3 linked regions of the Coturnix japonica genome follow. The protein of the gene in region 1 interacts with the protein of each later gene in a biochemical or structural test. Links are inferred from orthologs where the notes say so. Each region holds a gene or a part of one and is shown in the gene's direction. Other genes may lie near its edges. The genes, in order: RB1, BRF1 and MAPK14.

What was found.
Region 2: the proteins of RB1 (region 1) and BRF1 form a complex in vitro, tested with the Homo sapiens proteins (2 studies listed by BioGRID). The link is inferred for Coturnix japonica from reciprocal best matches to the Homo sapiens genes RB1 and BRF1.
Region 3: of the proteins of RB1 (region 1) and MAPK14, one has a biochemical effect on the other in vitro, tested with the Homo sapiens proteins (3 studies listed by BioGRID and IntAct). The link is inferred for Coturnix japonica from reciprocal best matches to the Homo sapiens genes RB1 and MAPK14.

What each region holds. Positions count from the first base shown.
Region 1 is NC_029516.1:151,078,170-151,081,818, forward strand, and holds part of RB1 (retinoblastoma-associated protein), read left to right. Parts: intron 1-815; coding exon 816-929; intron 930-1,019; coding exon 1,020-1,186; intron 1,187-1,931; coding exon 1,932-1,962; intron 1,963-2,432; coding exon 2,433-2,575; intron 2,576-3,174; coding exon 3,175-3,224; intron 3,225-3,548; exon of another isoform or gene 3,549-3,610; intron 3,611-3,649. UniProt on the Homo sapiens protein: Tumor suppressor that is a key regulator of the G1/S transition of the cell cycle. The hypophosphorylated form binds transcription regulators of the E2F family, preventing transcription of E2F-responsive genes.
Region 2 is NC_029520.1:47,935,602-47,939,250, reverse strand, and holds part of BRF1 (transcription factor IIIB 90 kDa subunit), read left to right. Parts: intron 1-1,205; coding exon 1,206-1,462; intron 1,463-3,649.
Region 3 is NC_029541.1:520,563-524,311, forward strand, and holds the start of MAPK14 (mitogen-activated protein kinase 14), read left to right. Parts: upstream 1-1,222; 5' UTR 1,223-1,351; coding exon 1,352-1,467; intron 1,468-3,749. UniProt on the Homo sapiens protein: Serine/threonine kinase which acts as an essential component of the MAP kinase signal transduction pathway.

The sequences.
Region 1 (3,649 bases):
ATTACGAACTGTCCACGTGATTCATAATATTCTGGGGAGATCTCATGGTGGCCTTCCAGTACTTGAAGGGAGCTTGTAAAGAGGAAGGGAAACAGCTGTTTACGAGGGTGGATAGTGATAGGACAAGGGGAATAGTTTTAAAGGGAGACTGGAGATTTAGGTTAGAGATTAGGAGGAGGTTTTTCACACAGAGGGTGGTGACGCACTGGAACAGGTTGCCCAAGGAGGCTGTGGATGCCCCATCCCTGCAGGCATTCAAGGCCAGGCTGGATGTGGCTCTGGGCAGCCTGGGCTGGTGGTTGGCGACCCTACACACAGCAGAGGGGTTGAAACTGGATGATCTTTGTGGTCCTTTTCAACCCAGGCCACTCTATTATTGCATGTATTTGCCCTGGAGAGTAGAAAATTAGTTCTAATACTAAGTGTCTCTGTAAGCATCTTGCAAAATAGTAAATATCTCACAGCAATTGTTTGTTAGCTTTCAGAAAGCAAATTTCCTCCTGCCCTATTAATTAAAGATACCAAGTAACAGTTCATTATTCTATTTGGAAACTAGATGAGAAGTTAAGGTGTAGTACTGATAGGATTTTTCAAAAGCAACTTAAATTCCTTTAAGAACTACTTAACTTTCCTGGAATATTGAGGGGGAATAGACAGGTTACTTACTTCAGCTGTCATCAGTAAAAAAAATGGTCATGTGTCAAACAGGTACATCAATGGAGAGGCCTATTACAGTTGCAGGCTTGATTCTAACATGAAGTACCTTATTAAGGTGCTTACAAATGAAATAACTTAATTTTTATTTCTCACTGCAGACTTTCAAACGTGTTCTTATCAGGGAAGAGCAGTACGACTCCATTATAGTCTTCTACAACTTAGTGTTCATGCAGAAACTGAAGACAAACATCCTGCAGTATGCCTCCAACAGGGTAAAGTGTTAGTTGTATCCAGGACTGTTCATTTAATAGAATAGGAATTTATAGACAGTAAAACCTTCTGATGCTGTTGTTATTTTCTAGCCTCCTACGCTGTCACCTATCCCACACATTCCTCGCAGCCCCTACCAGTTCTCCAATTCTCCTCGGCGTGTCCCTGCAGGCAATAACATCTACATCTCACCCTTGAAGAGCCCTTACAAATTCTCTGATGGGTTTCAATCTCCCACAAAGATGACTCCAAGGTCCAGGTACGTTGGTTATAAACATCTCACTGAGTGAAGTGAAGTGAAGTGAAGTGAAGTGAAGTGAAGTGAAGTGAAGTGAAGTGAAGTGAAGTGAAGTGAAGTGAAGTGAAGTGAAGTGACTGGGAGTTCACTGCAAGCAAGTTAGCAAACTGTGGTGTGTAGTTCATTAATAGTCTGTGGTTAGTTTATCTTTTATGGTTAAAGTTTGTGTCCTGTATCTGGTCCCTTCCAACCTAAGCCATTCTATGATTCAAACTGGCCACTGGCTCTTAGCAGAGGATGACAGCAGATGAATCATGTTATCTTTAAACAGCATTTCCATCTCAGTATTGAAAAGCCCGTGCAAATCTGTAGTGGGCTTTTCCAACTAGGAAATGCTATCGGATGTTTTAGGTTGACGTCTTGCGTGGGTTTGATTAGCAAACATCCAAAAGAAATGATTAAGGGCTGATTATCAGGTCCTCAGCATTTCCTGTTGATAAGGGTTGCATTGTGTGGACCTTTCATTCTTCCAAGACACAGCTTTTCATGTATCGGTGTGGGATGGCAGATTTGGCAATTAGGCTTTCACCGGTCCTAATGGAAATGTGAATAATCTGAATACAGCAAAGCACAGTCTGGGTTTGCACTGTTAAAGAGGAGAACACTTCATTAATGCCTTAAGAAAATCTGTGCAAGTTAATAGATGCTTCTCTGTCTTGCTGTGGAGGGCGGCTTGACTGAAATGCTTGTTTTCTTCCTTTGGCAGAATTCTGGTGTCGATTGGTGAAACGTTTGGGGTGAGTTTTACAGTTCTTATTGTCTGCTCTTGAATGCGTGGTGTTGGAGCCACGGCGTAGCCTGCTGGTAGCCAGAGAGCTGGCTCATGGTTCCCATCTAATATAGTCATTTTATGGAATTTGTAAGCACAAAGATTACAGGGATGTCCTGTTCACCTCTTTCAGTTATCCAGGCTTAGCTTTTAAAAAGTTTAGCATTCTATTTCAGTTGTTGTGGAAGGAGGTTCCTCCCTGGAAGCATTCAACGCCAGGCTGGATGGGGCTGTGAGCAACCTGGTCTACAGGGAGGTGTCCCTGCCTACAGCAGGGGGTTGGAACTGGATGATCTTAAAGGTCCCTTCCAACCCAAACCACTCTATGATTCTAAGGTTAGAGTTCTTAGATTGTAACGTTGTAGTGGATCATTGGGGAAGTTTGAGTAGTTTCAGGATTTATTCACTAACTCTTTAACTATTTTCTTGTGATTTCAGACTTCTGAAAAGTTTCAAAAAATAAACCAGATGGTGTGCAACAGTGAGAGCCACGTAAAGCGCGGTGCAGAGCCCAGCGATGCCCCTAAGCCACTGAAGAGGCTGCGCTTCGATATAGAAGGGCAGGACGAGGCAGATGGAGGGTAGGAGACTGATGGTGGCTTTCTGCTCAACTGCTTCAGGAGTGGTTTTGTGGGGCCTCCAGAATGCATCCTAACTTCTGTTTGAGGGTGGTGATGCACTGGAACAGGTTGCCCAAGGGGTTGTGGATGCCCCATCCCTGCAGGCATTCAAGGCCAGGCTGGATGTGGCTCTGGGCAGCCTGGTCTGGTGGTTGGTGACCCTGCACATAGCAGGGGGTTGAAACTGGATGATCATTGTGGCCCTTTTCAACCCAGACCATTCTATGATCCTGTGATTCTGTTTATTTCTGAACTTCCATAAATACGTTACATGAGGGACGGTAGCAAAATACTTAATTGGGCATTTGGTGTTTAAAGCAAGGATTCATTCAGTGCCTCATACCCAGGTATTTCTGCTAAAGGCTAAATTGTACTGCAGTCTTAAAAAATATTATTTTAGAAGTATGAGAAATGAAACATCTCTTGAGTGTGCTGTGGTGGAAAACACAATTTGTATTTTTATAAGATGAGGCAGTAGCAATGAAATGAACTAGCTGTGATTTGTGTGTTGCTGTTGTTTGTTTTTAACATCCCTTTAATCAAATGCTTTCTGTCTGCAGCAAACACCTACCCCAGGAGTCCAAGTTCCAACAGAAGCTTGCAGAAATGAGTGAGTATTACTCTTCTAGTAACTCCTCAGCACTGAGTACCTTGCATAGAACACTTTGTGTCAACTCAGACAAAAACATCGTTCAACACCACTGTCATTTCAGTGCTTACTTTTTTTGTACTTGCTCCACTGAAACACAAATGATTAAATTAAAACCCTCCAAAGCATCTTTGGTGCTGTTAAATGGCAGAGAGGCACAGAAGTGCTAGAAAATGAGCACGACATGTTCATCCTTAATACCAGGATTCTTGAAAGGGAATTAAATGATTTGCTGTGCTCTGGGGTGTGGCACTGCTCAGCCCATGGGGACTGGAGCAGCACAGCGCTCGCTTTGGTAGAACATATACTAAAATTGGAATGATACAGAGAAGATTAGCATGGCCCCTAATTTGGGTGAGACCACATGACACATGCATGGCATCCAG
Region 2 (3,649 bases), on another chromosome or scaffold:
CATGCAACTAAAATCCATGTTCGTTTTTAATGTGTGTATCTTGTATCTTTCTTTTCTGCCTAATGTGAAAGACAGAGTTTCCCACTTCCCCTAGGTATTTCAATAGCAAAAACAAAACCAGACAATGAAACACTGTTTTATGCTTCAGAGTCCCTCATTCATGCCGCCCTTCCAGGGCCGTGGAATTCTACCAGCAATTTTCAGAACTCTATAACTCTCTGGCACTGAGAAGCAGCCCAAACAACCCACCTTTTTGTTCTGACAACACAGGAGTTTTTCTCGAGCTGTATTGTTTCTGACAGCTCGAGTAGAACTTGATTAATATAGTGCTTTCCAATTTCAAGGTAGCACTTGACCCATGTAGGTAAACAGAGGGGCTATTATACATTAAAAAATAAATCTCCTGCGGAGCTTGGTGTTAAAAACTTCCTTTGAAAAGGAAAAGGTTGAATGAGAAACAGAAGACTTTTTTTGTGTGTTCCTAGCTAGGCATTGGTCCCAGACAGAAGTGTTCCCTGGTGTCATTTCTCTTTGTCTGGGTCTGTGCAGCATCAAACTGCTGCATAGTGTTAGCACTGGGCTTGCAGTGCTTGGCCGAGGGAGGTTGTCTCTCTCTGTGGGCAGGTGATGTTGCTGCAGCATCCTGCTTCCTCCCCAACACCATTATTGCTTAGAAAGCTGCTGCTAATTGCTAATTTTCTCCACTTCTTTCCATTCTGAGGAAGAGTTGGATGTGCAGCTTTCAGGCTTCATACAAAATGCTGCTGTCAGTGCCTAGGGGAGTGCCCCAGCTTGACTCTCACTTGGAAGGTAGTTTTAACAGAGGAATTTATTTGCATGCTGGGTGATGTTATCAAGGTCCCTGTTCCTGTAACGGGAGCTCTCTCCATTTTTTTTTTTCACATGTGAGAAATGGCCCACGTTGCTTTTCTGGCAGCGGTACAAATGTGCAGTCAAGAATTTGTAATAAACTGCGTGGGCATTTGGCAAAAATGGGAAAGCCTACACTGAATTCTTGTAGAAAAAGAAGTTTCTTAGCCTTAGTCCTCCCCCAGGCCATAGAGTGCTGACCTGGCTCTGCCCCATCGCCTATCCTGTCCCCGAGTCGCCAACACCTGTGCAGGGACTGCTGAGCTACAGGTCCCCCTTCTGCTACACAACCATTTTGTTTGTCTCTACATCACTAATTTTATATTTTAATTAAGCCAAAGAAAGCTGCAAAGAAGCGGGAGCCAATTCAAGCCAGCACAGCAGGAGAGGCAATTGAAAAGATGTTAGAACAGAAGAAAATCTCAAGTAAAATTAATTATAATGTGCTAAGGGACCTGAACAGCAAAGGAAGTAACACACCAAAGAAAGAGGATGACAGCACTGATGACAGCACCAACACCAAGAAGCTGTCAAGAAGAAAATCTATTGCCAGTAGGAATATAGCCAGCCCTGTAAACAGTGTGGGAAAAAGGTACCGCAATTGTTCATTTCTATCTCTGTCTGTGAGACTGTCTATGTATCTTTCTGAGCCAGACAATGTAGGTACTGAAACATTTGTCTGAGGCTAAAATAATGCTGGGCTCTTGTTTTTATTTATTTTGCCTGCAGTGTCACAGTGGAAACTTATTTATAGTTCTCGTATCAAAGGTCTGTTTTAGTGTGAGTTAATCATTCTGGAGGAGAAGAAAAAAAAAAATCAATGGAAATTCATAAACATCAATCTTTGGGCCACGAACAGCTTTTCTTCATATATCCCTGACATTTGGTGTCCTCCCTTTCTGGGTTGTCTGTATCTGCTGACATGACACTAAATGCTCGAAAGCTTTGGCTTTTTGCTTCATTTGAAAAATACAGTTCCCATCTGTTATGACAGCTAAGCTGTTTTGATTAGCTTTTATTTTAGTTTTGTTCCAAACTTTTGTTGTTAATTGGTGACACAAATATAAAGCTTTACAGTAAATATGCTTGTCGGTTTTCTGGTCTGCATTTGCAAATGTTTTATAGTGTGATGAAAGCTACTATTTTAATGTGCAAAATATTCAGACTTGCTGGGCAGATTTGTGGTGTGCTGTAATGTGTAGAAGGAGATGGATGTGTCCTATCTGCAATATTCAACTGTTTTATTAGCCTGCAGTTCATGAAATCATGTCGGATGATCATTTGGATGATCTCTCTCTATAGTGGTTTCTTATTTAGTTGCTAGATATTAATTTACTGCCTAAAAGATGTTTTTTGCTTCCAAGGCCATACACCACCAGGAAATCCAGACATTTAATATAGAAATGCTAGATGGTGTCTTCATACTGTTGTTTGGAGAGTGAAGGGCAGGGGGTGGATGGAGGGAGCAGAGGAGAGCTGGGGTTGGTGATGGCACTGCTTGCAGCAGCACTGGAGTGGGCAGAGCTCATGGGAGGGGGCTCAGGGCTGTCAGAAGTGAGAATGAGGAAGGAGCTGCAGCTGGAGGTGCTTCAGATATGATATTTTCCCTTCCTAAATAAAGCAGCTCTGGGGAGAAAAAGGCAACCAGAAGGTGTGAGAATTCATCTATTGGCAAAAGGAGTGAGGATGTAGCAAACCTGTGGAGGTAAAGCTGGGTGGGCTGGTATGGACATGGCCATACACAAACCTATTACTATGAACTGGTTTGCACTTGGGCAATTACATTGGCTTTGGCCAATGCTTTTAACTTCTCAGCCAGAATTGTGTCTACCTTCACTGTCACTGGGATACAGATTTTTGCAATGTAACAAATGTCTTTTGTTTTTCTGCTCTTCCTTCTTTATTCTGTGTTTTATCAAAATGGCTTCATCCTCATTCAGCTCCTCACCTCTCTAACACCAACAGCTTTCCAATTCATTCAGTGAGGATTTTAGTTTCCTATGTAAGTTGCTACTTCAGGTCATGTTTAATGACCTAAATACACATATTTTCTAATAGAAGGAAAGTGAAGATGGATTCAGGATTATCTCACAGCATTGGCTTATGGGTTTTTTTGTATTTAACAGGCATAGTGAGTCATATTTCTGCAATTTTTAGTGAAGCACAGCTCTGATACAGTTAGCAAGAATGGAATGCTGTGATGGGCAGTATGGGCTTGTGAGGGACCCATTGCTTTTCAGGACTTAGCAGTAATATGAGCACCTGAGATGCTTCAGCACATCCATCCATGTCCCTTTGAGGTCTGCCTTTCTGCAGCACTGGGCACTTGGAGCTCCTGTTGAAGCCAGCAAGTTAAACCCTTAACAGGTGTTAAACTCTTTGGAAAATCATGCCATAAATATTTGATTTAACAGTGGTGCAACTTGAAAAGGTCTCTAAATAAATACACAAATCAGTATTTTCCAAAAGCAGCTAATAAAATGTGTTTATTTTTCCACTTGAGTGCCTAAAGTACGTCCTTAAGATGCATAACAGTTTCCTGATGATGATTAGCAGATCTTAGATACAATGAATTTTGCAGCAGAGCACTTGAGAGAAGGTTGGTGATACATGCAGATACGTGGTTAAGATTTTGCACTCCAGAAGTAGGCAGCATTCCTGATTAAATAATATCAAGGACTTGGCAAACCATTTGTTTTTTATTTCTTACTGTTAAAAGATTTATGACATACATTTGATTTTATTTATTTAATTTTTTTGGCTGGTAGTCTTTAAAATG
Region 3 (3,749 bases), on another chromosome or scaffold:
GCATGAAAAGGCAGTAAGTGAGCAGAAAGTCATCAAAACGCAGTATAAGTAACAAAACCTGGAGGGAAATAAATAAATATGTTTCCTGAATGGTTGGGATCCCTTTGTACAAGTCTGGCGTTTCACATCACTGAGATACACCACTTCTAATAGAGGAGCCTGGCAGCCTCCAGGCACAGCCACCAGCACACACAGCCCAGTCATTCTAACAGCAGCAGGCAGCCCGCAGGCACGTTCGATTCCTAGTGAATGGTTTGTTCCTCTTTTTAAAAAGGAGATACACAAAGGCCTTCCAGAGTTTAAGAGACGTTTTGTTCATGAGCTCTGCACACCCAGTACAAGCTGCTGTTTGAGCAAAATCACCTTTTTTCAAGTGAAGGTAACACAACAAAAAAAGTTAAAAAGAAACTTGAGTTCCAGCTGTACCAGCTCAGCTCCCCAAGCTCTGTGAGACCCCCAGAGGGAACGGGGCTTGGCCTTACTGAGGGCTGTGGCAGTTCAGCCCAGGCCTGCTGCCTTAGGTCATCGTTCTCATCAATGTGCATATTTTGCTTAAAGTACAGCGTCAAGGTGACAAGACAAAGCCTCGCGAAAACGGCACACGGACTGTGGCGCCGTGACATCTCCCTGCGTGAGCACAACCCCCTCACACACCGCACTCGTGGAACACTTGAACGCAGCGAGCCCGCCTCTCGCCTCGGCCCGTTCTCGCGAGAGCCCCTCCGCGCCGCTCCGCATTGCCTCCATATTGGGGCATCTCTGCCCACGGCGCCTCAACTCTCGCGAGAACGTCTGGACTGAACCCTAGGGCCGCAGTGGGGAGCGGGGAGGCGGAGCGGCCGGGTCGGCCCAGCCCGAGCTGCTCCGCTGGGGGCGGGACGGGGCCGGGGCCTCGTCTTTGCCGTCCTACCTGCGGCCGAGTGCCTCCCCCCGGCCTTCCCTATCGGCCGATCCCTCCCTCACCTGACAGGGCAACCCACCCCTCGCCGTGCGGAGGGAGAGAGAAAGGGAGAGCTGTGTGTGCGGGGAGGGGGAGGCGGCGGCTGAGAGGAGGGGACCGGGGAAGGAGCAACCGCCCCGCGCGAGGGCTGGGCCCGGGCAACGTGAGGCGGGGGGGCGCGGGGCGGCGGCCAACGGTCGGTGTGAGGAGAGGGCGGTGTGAAGGGGCGGCGTGGGAGGAGCGAGGCGGGGAGAAGGGAGGAAGGAAGAAGGGAGGGGAGGAGGAAGGAAGGAAGGAGGGAGGGAGGGAAGGAGGGAGGGAGCTCTGCTGCTGCAGCTGGAGGTGCTGCCGCAGCCGCGGGCACCGCCGCCCCCTCCCGCCGGGCCGGGCGGGGTGGGCTCCGCAGCCGAGATGTCTCAGGAGCGGCCCAAGTTTTACCGCCAGGAGCTCAACAAGACGGTGTGGGAGGTGCCCGAGCGCTACCAAAACCTCTCCCCGGTCGGGTCCGGGGCCTACGGCTCCGTCTGGTGAGTGGCGGCTGGGGGTGACTCCGGGCCGGGTTCTTCCCCGGGCACCGCTCGGCCCCGGGCGCCGCTCCGCGCCGTTCTCCCTCCGCCGCAGCCGGCAGCCCCGAGCATTGCAGCATAGGGCAGGTGGCACCGGGACATTTTTGCAGGGGAAGATAATCGCGTCCCAGCCCCCGGCGTGATCTCATTTGGGCATATTTCGCGGTGCCTTCTCGCAGTTGGGAGGTGGGGGTGGAGAGGATGCGGGCTGGCAAGGCCCCGAGCTCCGCAGAGCTCTGCTGGCTCAGTTTCCTTCTCGACCCGGAGGATGGATTATGAGCCGGGGGCTGCAGGGAGCTGCTGCGTCCCCGACGCCTGGCAGGGGCTGCAAGAGCCATTTTAGCGGCTGTGTGCGGTGAGCGCGGCGTGCGCTGCCTGCAGGAGCAAAGCCTGGGGTCAGCGTGCGGGAATAAGGAGAGCTCGGAGCTGTGCTCGGTTTTTAATGCTTGCCTCGTTGCATCGCGTGCACCGCTTGGGATTTCTCTGCAAAAATGTATTGGATCGTGAAATGTAAATCAGTGGGGCTGATGACATCGCTTAATCGTAAAGATGAGGTTGTGTCTGGATTGACGTTCCGACTTGAGCAGTCGCTTAGAGGTTTATATAGCAGCATAGGCTGCTAAACGATGTTTTTTGCTCTGTCAGTGTGATCCGAGTTCTCATACGGGTGTGTAACAACTGTACATCTGTTCTGCTTCTGTCTCGGAGCAGGCGTGCCTATTTTTTTCGTTAACATAATGTACAAGTTTATACCATGACTGTCATTTATATTTTAAGGAGCAATGCATGCTGACCTCTATCAGAAAAAGGAGTTGCTTTGTGTGTGCTGCAGTTTTAAAGAAGTCAAGTTCTCTCCTGTTCTGCTGTCAGGAACCTCTGCTGAAATAACACGTTTCTTAAAACTGCCGTGTCCCAAGTATGTAAATGCTTGTATGTCATAGAAGACAGAGCCTAACCAGTTACAGTACCACGGGTAGCCAGTATATCTTCTGATTTAGTCAGTTTTTTAATAATTAAAGGGTTTAGTTCTGGTGAAAGAAAGGGCTCAGTGCCCCAGCTGATAAATGCCCCTTTAGCTGCTGTGGTTACATAACTCCCTCGGTGCAATAGGAAGTGGATTTACTCCATATCTGCTGTATTCAGGCCGGCCTTATGCAGTGCATGCAGCCCGTTCCTCTTCTGTTCTCCACCTACCCATGGTCTGTTGTGTACTTAATGCTTCCAATGTTTGTTTTCACAACCAATTACTGAAGACTTTGCATCATGAATTTCCTGTAATGCTGCCTCCGAACTTTCAAAGATTGTGCAACTGTGTTCGGCCTGGATGGATCAGCTCTGCTTTGGAAGCAATTTCAGATGTACGGCATGTGCATCTTAGCATAGCTTTTTTCAGGGTTTTCTTTGTGTCCTACCAAAAACATCTTTCTGAAGAAGTACTGCTCAGACAGACAAGTAATAGTGTGCATGTATAATTAACTTCGTAATGTAAAGCTCCAGACAGTGATGTGTGGCATTGAGGGCATTCCTAGCATGGCTTGTTCCACTCTTTTCCTTTAGAGAGATTCTTCCCTCTTCCTTCTCCTGCTCTGGGAAGATGTTCCTGTCTTTGTTTCAGACTTGGAGTTTGAAGTGCCCTCTGTTTTGGGACAGCGAACTGCAGGGCTTTAATCAGCCTTAAACAGAGTGCATAAATACACTCCTGTATGTCTACAGCACTGTTAGATTAGAACATAATGATACACTTTATTTAGGTGTCCAGATGAGAGATATAAAAAGGGGGACTTTCTAGAAAGTGGAGGAAAAATTAACAAAAGAATTAAGCCTGCAAATGAATCAATTAGACTGTGCAGTGTCTGCTGCAGTCTGCTTTAAATGTCCATCTCAACTTGGAGCACCGTGGTAGAAAGTCCTGACTGAAGTTTTTGCAGTCAGTGGATGGAGAATGTTGTTCTATGCAGGCAGCCAGAGCGTGTCCTTAGTGTTGGAGTAAGTGTTCTTGTGTCTTCTGGTGCACGGTGAGGATGTTCAAACAGCCAGCTCAGGTATTTTTCAGTTTTTTTGTTTTGTTTTTTTTTAACTGAAAATATGTGGAAATTAAAGTAGGGCTTTGGTGCTAAAATGCCGAGAAATGTCTATATGGACTCTCAGATCATTCATCACTAAGCCATGTTAACAATTGCAGTGACATCTGTTGTGTGAAGTGATAATGCCTTCTTGCCGGAGTTTTGCGTATTCATCTAAGT